Nothobranchius furzeri: one gene and its partner. The protein of the gene in region 1 binds, or shares a complex with, the protein of each later gene. Links are inferred from orthologs where the notes say so. Each region holds a gene or a part of one and is shown on either strand. Other genes may lie near its edges.

Region 1 (4,413 bases):
TAAGCGCATGAAGAGGTGGAGGAGAATGAGGGACACATTTTTCCATGTTAAAAAGTCTCTGAAATACAAAAAACACAACAAAAACACAATAGTAAATGTGCCATCTTTAACCAGATACAAAACAGGATACCTCAGAACAGCGCTACGCCCTTCGTTGTCCTGGTGAGGAATTGCTTTACAACACTCCCAAAGAGACGGAGAAGTCCGAGAGCAAAACGTCTCTGTCAATGCGTGTGTGTCTCTCACTTGTGGAGCTGATGCAGAAGCACAAACTACTCTTTAGGTTTCAAGTGAAGGGGTTTGAAGAAAAAGATGGCAAGCTGTGGCTCCATCTGTCACTCAATCACAGTCTGGATCTTCAGTACATCCTGGAATGTGAGAGCTTCAATAATCTTTTTTTGACAACTTCTTCTTGTCCAACAAGGACGTTAGCAGTAGCTCGGGCTAGCGTTGTTCTGCAGTTAGCATCACCGCGATAAACAGACGTTTAAGTGGGTTGGGGCATGCAGATTTAAAGTGGTGTTTAAGCTTATGACACGATAAACCAACTTGTTTCAGAACAAGCCGTTTCTCTGTGGCCATCGGAACATTACTGGTTTAAACAGGAAAACAGTCAAAGACGGCACAGGCTTTTGGTATTAGACACTCCAAGCTGCCTTTACTCAATAACAGTATAGTAAATTTGGTTTTAAATTCACTTTAAGTGTAAAGATAGTGTGACTCTAGTATTAAACTTAACCAGAAACACTTTAAAATAACTTAACTAGTAGTATGCATCAACTTCCTCGATTAAATAAAGGTCAAATTTTGTATTTTTGAATACATAATCTTTTTTCGTAAACTCAAAATGCACTTATTTTATTTATTATTCATTTTAAGCCTCATATAGATATTTTATTTTAAGAAGTGGCTCGTCTCCCGCCCAAATTCACAACCTGATATCAGTGAAGAAATCACATGGCTCTAACGTGATGACCATTACCTACCATGAGCTCGGAGGTCCATGGCCACCACTCTACAGTTGATCCTGTTGCATATGACAGCCTGTGAAAAAAACATTTATGACAAAAGGTGATCAACAAACATGCTGAAATCTTCATATCAATGTGATGAAAGAGGGACTTTAGAGAGTAACACTCACAGTGAACACAGCCCAGGAAAGTGCAGAGTGGCCTCCACCATGGAGCAAGAACAGGACTGGGCCGTGGGAGCCATTACAGTACAGTCGGAAAATGTTCTGGGTTGTCAAAGAAATAAAAACCAGAGCGACAAATACACATGCAGCTCAAAACAGAATAAACAACTCAGTTTGAAATTCTAGTTTCCCCCCGTCATTGGCTGTAGGCAGTTTGTTTTTATCCATCCACCTCCATTCTTGTCAAGTTCCCTCTGATTTTTAAGGACACACCTCACACTGTGCATAGATGAGTCTGTTTTCTGGCTAATAGCATAAATATCACTTTCTGTTATCTTTGCTGAGCCATGAATGGCTCAAAGACAATTTAAGAAAAGGTGGCTTTATAAAGCAAAGGCTCAAGGGCTTGATTAACAAATTGTGACAAAGCTGTTCAAATATGTTGCTGATCATCAGGAAGCCTGCTGCAAAAGATGACTTAAGTATTTATGAGAAAGTCTCACTGCTTGACAAACAAAAGACACGTCAGATGGCTCAAGATTTTTTGCACAACTGTATTAAGAGTCACTATTAGTCATTCAAACTTAAAACAGAGGCCAAGGATATATCTTTGCCATTTTCATTTTCGACCTCAACATCTTCCATGGTTTCAAAGTACTGACTCCAGGATAAGGGAGTGAAATCTCTCTTCCTCCCAGGTCTGTGGAAAACATAAAACAGAAGCAATTAGGCATTACTTTACTCTTAACAGCACAAATGAGACCATTTTAGCGAAGAAAACACCTCTGGTTTATGTTATAATTAAGTGTAAAATATCACCAGTCCTTTCAACAGACGTACAGGGCACCAATTTTAAAGCATTTTCATCTTGAAACTTTTCACCCAAACCTAGAAAACTACAAATAAATAAATAAATAAATAAATAAAATAAAATAAAAAAAACGGCAAGTTTAGCTTTAGATTTTTTCCTTCCACAAAAACCTGGGAAAGGCAGGGTGTAATATCTAGTTTCCAAATGTAAAACACCGTGGAGTCATGCTGTATGGATAAATATAAACACAAATGTGTTTACTAAAGAACAAACCAGCCAGCTGATGACCCATTCATAAACATAAACAAAAATCATTATCATTAAACTTACCGTTATCTTTTTCCATCCAGATTCACTGAAAGTTACAACAAATACTATCGGACAGGAACAGATGTTTAATATAAATGCAAACAAGCGAAAAGTTTCGTGATTTCAACAAAGATGGACTAAATTCTAAGCCGCAGCTAGCTTACTTAGCCTGGATAATGCTAGCAGATAGGGAGCTAATAATGGGATATTTTTACACTCTGTTGTGACGGTGGTGAAAATAAATATGACGTTAAACAGCTGATACACGTGGGAACAAACGCAACAAGTTGATTACTCACCCCATTTTCATTTTGGAGCTAGACTGCATTCCACCTGCCATAGGAGGTCTGGAGGCTAGCAGGTTCAAATGCAACTGCTTCTCCATGTTGTCAGAACGGCTCGGTCTCTGTCAGGGACTCTTTATTATCAACGCTTCTTTCTGTCGCTGCATATGATTTCCCCCCGACTGTTTTACATACGTTAGTAAGACATTAGATAACTGTGTTAATATAATGCTAACAGCTATCGGTCTTCTGCGTCGCGTTGTCTTCTTTGCCTTTTTCTAGCTCTTAAAGGTAAATATGGAGAAGTCACACATCACTGCCCCCTAGTGACCAAGCAGTATATGACAGGTTTACAGCCTGTGGTGGCATCATCTTTGTCTGTTTCCAGCTCAGAATTAAATTAAAATAAATACTTAAGACATTTTACATGATAAAGAAAAATATTAGAGGGTCTCGTCTCGTCTCGTCTCGTCTTCCTCCGCTTATCCGGGTCCGGGTCGCGGGGGCAGCATCCCAACTAGGGAGCTCCAGGCCGTCCTCTCCCCGGCCTTGTCCACCAGCTCCTCCGGCAGGACCCCAAGGCGTTCCCGGACCAGATTGGAGATGTAACCTCTCCAACGTGTCCTGGGTCGACCCGGGGGCCTTCTGCCGGCAGGACATGCCCGAAACACCTCCCCGGGGAGGCGTCCAGGAGGCATCCTGACCAGATGCCCAAACCACCTCAACTGGCTCCTTTCGATCCGGAGGAGCAGCGGTTCTACTCCGAGTCCCTCCCTAATGTCCGAGCTCCTCACCCTATCTCTAAGGCTGAGCCCGGCCACCCTACGGAGGAAACTCATTTCGGCCGCTTGTATCCGCGATCTCATTCTTTCGGTCGTGGGGAAGAGGGAGCTGAGCCAGAAAGCCAGGCTCTCGATTTACCGGTCGATCTACGTCCCAATCCTCACCTATGGTCATGAGCTTTGGGTATTAGAGGGTTTAAACATAAAAAATAGTATAATATGTGTGTTTCATAGTGCTAAATAAAATATTTATTTTATTTTATTTATTTATAAGAAACTTATTGGGCTGCATGGTGGTGCAGTTTGTAGCACTGTTGCCCCTTTTCAAGAAGTTAGCACGTTTGACTTCCAGCTGCAGCCTTCCTGCATGGAGTTAGCATGTTCTTCTCATCCATGCAGGGATATTCTTCAGGTAATTTTCCCCGTGTGAGTGAGTGTGTGACTTGTTTGCTTCTGTGTGTCTCTGTGATGGACTGCAGACCTGTCCAGGGTGTCCCCTGCCTCTTGCCTGGTGATTGCTGGGGTTAGACATCAGCACCTCACAACTCTGGTGAGGAGTGTCAGTATTAGAATTAAAAAAAATGCTGCTTGATTGTATTTTTATTCCAGAGATCAGTCTGATAACTGTATTATGTGTAATGGGCAGAAAAGCAAAAAAGGCCTAAAATTGGTCTTAAAAGGGTGGAGTGTTGCAGTTTATTAATGTTATTACTTACATGTGTTTTTTTTATTTCAAACTGTCATCTGAAACATGGAGCATTTAAAAGAAGTGGTTCACTGATTAAGAACAAGAGCAGATGTTTTAATAGATGTTCTGTGAAAAGCTTTTAAAACAAAAAGATGGGAGTATTTCTAAATCTGTGCTGTATTTATCAGGAAGCTGGTGAGGAGATGTTAACACAGGAGAAGGCCAGTCTCACCTTCTGTCTGGTTCCAGTTATGTCCAACTACACATTTATCAGCCAGGACGACAGAGGCTGCTGGACGCCAACATAAGTCTGGAGATCTTTCCTTTTTATTAGAGAATGAAGGTTGCAATTAAATTAAGGAACAATTCTGGGAACCCGGCTCTTTATCACAGAGTTAATCTGT
Region 2 (3,819 bases), on another chromosome or scaffold:
ATGAGCCGACTGGAAAGGGAGGAGACTTGGGCTCCATATTTTCCTACAGTATGTAGTCAGTTTTCTGTCAGCTCGTCCAACAGAGTGGTGTGTGTGTGCGCGCGCGTTTGTTAAGGGCCCATTTCTCCGATGGAGACATTCTAAGAGTGTGTGGGGGGATGGATGCTGCGAGTCAGTCAGGTGATGCCCCCATCTATCTCATACGTGTTGGGCATGTTCTCACCCAGAAGGGACATATTTATATACCTTAAATTATTTTATTTATACATGTTTTTTTTTTCATATAACACACTGTGGTTTAATGATTTCTGTTTATTTGCCTATGTAAATGTTTGTTCCTGTGCTTTTTGGACTAGAGTAGAAAATATAAAAAGATGTATATATTTAGATGAATAACATTTAGAGCACTAACAGCTTAATAAGGAAACTCTGCAAGCGTATATATCAAAATGCACAGAGAGTCAGGTTTACCTGAGTTGCGCCCTCCTCAACTGTCTTTTTTAACCTCTGAACATCTTCTATCAAAGGGACATCCGTCTCCATTGCTACAGGACTATAGAGGTCAGAGGAATCAACATGTGTAAAGAACTACGTTGAAAAGAAGGGGAAACAAAACAAAAAAAGATGGGAAAAAAGATTTTCAGTTGCAAAGAAGTGATTTTGTTTTTACAGCCTGATTTTTATCGACGATATATTGTTGAAATTTGATTTATAGTACTCTAGTTATTGATCTGTGAAGAAAGTAATTTCTCCATGAGGTTTTTGGAGTTAAAACAACCCCAAAAATTTGGCTTGAATAAAAATTATTTTAGAAAAAAATAAATAAATAAGGGATTTTTGTGCATTTGGGGATTAATTTATTTGCTTGTGGAGTGTAAAAACAGCAGACGTCTCCGCTTTTTATGTCTCAAATTTAAACAGGAGTTACATTTTCTTGAAGATGAAATAAAGAATAGAAAATACTTTGCTAAGATGAAAAAGATTCCTTTTTTATAGAGTTTACATAAGAAGACAGTGGTGTTGCCCTTAAACATCCAAAAAAGAAAACCACCGTGAGAGATTTTGATTAAATCTGTGCAAAAATGCATTTAAAATTTTACAACTTGATATCAGCTGCTCCCCCCCCCCCCCCCCGAGATTTGAGTCATTATCATGTATATTACACCTAAAGGGAAAAAAGTTGTGTCAATAAAACTGTTTTACATTTTAACTAAAACAAGTTAAAGGTAACACTGAAATAAAACTGCATCATATTTAACATTTAGCTTCTGAAATCAGAAAAACACCAATACATTTCAAGACATTTTTGGGTCCCCTTTTTATTATTATTATTTAGTTACTTTTTATTCTTATTCTGTCATTTTGTCCCATTTTTCATAATTAGCATAAAAAGCAATGTTAATATTTCAAACCTATAGTAATATTAAGAATAATTTCTCTTAACATTGAAAACTTAAATGTTGATCCAGTTATTCTTGTTCCTTAGAGCATTGTGTTCTTTTTCATTTTCACGGCATGGCGCTAAATACCAGGGGCCTCATTTATCAAGCTTGCTTACGCACAAAATGGGGTCAGAAAACTGCGTAAGCAACTTTCCACGCAAACTTTGGGATTTATGAAAGAAAACTTAGCAGAAAAATGTGCGCAACTTTAAGTTGACTAAGGACCTGCCTTACGCACATTTTGGACATGGAGAGCACCTGCAGTGCTGCTGAGGATAAAATTATGAAATCCTGCAGCATTATCACTTGTACTGCTTCGTTTTCACACAGAACAAAACCCCTACATGCACACACAGCCTGAAGCGCAGAATACAGAATGCAGAATATCAGCAGGGGGACAGATTGAGACAGAATGTCATGCGTCTGTGACAGTGTGTCCTGTCACTGTGACCCGATTGATCATGCGCCGTGGCTACTTGGACAAGGGAGATCTCTGTTTGGCTGACTGGTTAGCGCGCATGACTTTCACCCGGAAGTCTGGGGATCGAATCCCGATTGGGTCATATTTTTTATATCCGCCACAGATCTCGGACGATTGCATTGACGGCTTCAGCAACGCTGTACCACTCCGTGGATTTACTCTTGTTTGTTTTGCAAAAGCACTTCCTTTCATTTCTCCACCTCACCCACAGGTACCTGAATTTCTGCTTGTGAAATAGCGCTTCCTTGGTCTGCGGTCGTGATCGAAATGCTGCAACAAGCTGGCTTATCTATATGCATGAGGTCCACAATGCACTTTGCATCGACCATTTATGGCAGTAAGTGGGCGTGGTGAGGGCGGGATGTGACTAAAAAGCAGCTGAGAAACTTTCTAGATAGTTTCTTATTTATGAAGCGGAGATTGCTTGCAGCTGTGCGTACTCCATGTTTGATAGATCACAAACCTACTTGGCGTAAGTACATTTTTTTGCTGAGCTTAAGTACGGTTTTAGTAAGGATTCTACGCAATGTTTGATAAATGAGACCCCAGCAGTCTTATTATCATCTTCACCTAATGCAGAAGAACATCTGCACCTCGGTGGGAAACCTGGGAGCTCCATTGCCAGCTGCTGCTTCTTCATGGTGAAAAAGAACCGACGTGCAGAATGGACTCACCTGTGGATTTGATTTGGCGAGATTCTCAATCTTGCTCCAAGCCTCTTCGCGCTCTTTTGACTTTGCCTTCTCCCTGTTTAACAGAACATCACAATTCCTGTCACTCATTTGACTTAATGCCGCCTGCCGGTGACAAAAGGTAATAAGCTTAAAAACTTTGGGGCGTACTTGTTTTTCTCTGCTTTGAACTGCTGTGTGCAATCATCAAAGAGCTTCTGATTCATCTCCATGAAAAGCTTCAGAGCGTTGTAGATGAGGCCATGGATGGTCCTGCGAATATACATTTCAAATTAGGTACATTAAAGCATTTATAGACATAAATGAGGAAAAGTCAGTAAAATGCATCACAAACACCTACTGACGGGTCATCTCTGACACACCCCAGTAAAGGTCGTGTGAGCCGTTTTCCTGTGAGAGTCACAATGAAAGGAACACAGAGCTCCTACAGATGCCTGCTGAAGTCAAACAGCTTACTTGTTCCAGTGTGTCTTCGAGTTGCGGTACAGAGCGGGAAACATGATGGGCAGGATTTTGGCTGCATTGTCGCTGATCAGACTCATGATGTACTCGTTGTTCCAGTAGTACAGCGCTCTCTCGGCCACCTAAAGGGAGCACAGAAAAAGGAGTTGTGAAACGATGACGTGAACGGTTTTGTTCACAGAATCGGGCTTGGAGAATAACTCCTTCCTTCAAATTAAAAGCCTGAATTGTGTTTATTTATTTAATTTTTTTTAGGGTCATTCAAATTTGAATATTGGATCAGAGTAAAAATTATTTACTCATACAAGATTTGCAGAACACCCATTAAGCTTCGTTTGGACTGCTTTAGAGACATCACGGTTACCGGTGTAGCAGTAAACACCTACAGTTGACATCAGTGCAGCTTTTGATACTGTGGACCATAACATCCTTCTGGACAGACTCGCAAACTGGGTGGGACTATCAGGCACACTGCTTGGCAGGTTCAGATCCTATCTCAGGCCTAGTCCACACGTAGCCGGTGTTTTTTAAAAACGAATATCCGCCACTCCAAAAACTTGCATCCACACCACCGCGTTTTAAAAACAAACTCTGTCCACACGTACCCGGATAAATACGTTGTTATGGACATGCCAGACCTGTAGGCGGCAGTACTTCCCCCGTTCTTAACCTCGTCCTTCGTCTGTGGTCTTCCACAAGGAGCAGTAATTCCGCTTGCAAAAACAAACAAGCAGAAAGCGCT

What was found.
Region 2: the proteins of ppme1 (region 1) and ppp2r5ca are in contact, whole or in part, in a cryo-EM structure (PDB 7SOY), measured with the Homo sapiens proteins. The link is inferred for Nothobranchius furzeri from reciprocal best matches to the Homo sapiens genes PPME1 and PPP2R5C. Residues at the interface, in NP_057231.1 of Homo sapiens: Arg37, Lys38, Arg39, Asn192, Lys217, Val251, Glu252, Gly253, Ile254, Ile255, Glu256, Glu257, Pro345, Gln346; in NP_002710.2 of Homo sapiens: Asp180, His187, Arg188, Tyr190, Gly191, Leu194, Arg197, Ser230, Ile231, Gly234, Phe235, Ala236, Lys240, His243, Asp313, Gln341, Tyr348, Glu353, Tyr354, Glu399.

The regions. Positions count from the first base shown.
Region 1 is NC_091750.1:48,878,372-48,882,784, reverse strand, and holds the start of ppme1 (protein phosphatase methylesterase 1), read right to left. Parts: upstream 2,826-4,413; 5' UTR 2,641-2,825; coding exon 2,555-2,640; intron 1,836-2,554; coding exon 1,742-1,835; intron 1,235-1,741; coding exon 1,142-1,234; intron 1,045-1,141; coding exon 987-1,044; intron 1-986. UniProt on the Homo sapiens protein: Demethylates proteins that have been reversibly carboxymethylated. Demethylates PPP2CB (in vitro) and PPP2CA. Binding to PPP2CA displaces the manganese ion and inactivates the enzyme.
Region 2 is NC_091758.1:28,640,404-28,644,222, forward strand, and holds part of ppp2r5ca (serine/threonine-protein phosphatase 2A 56 kDa regulatory subunit gamma isoform), read right to left. Parts: intron 3,200-3,819; coding exon 3,072-3,199; intron 2,868-3,071; coding exon 2,766-2,867; intron 2,671-2,765; coding exon 2,598-2,670; intron 589-2,597; coding exon 472-588; intron 1-471.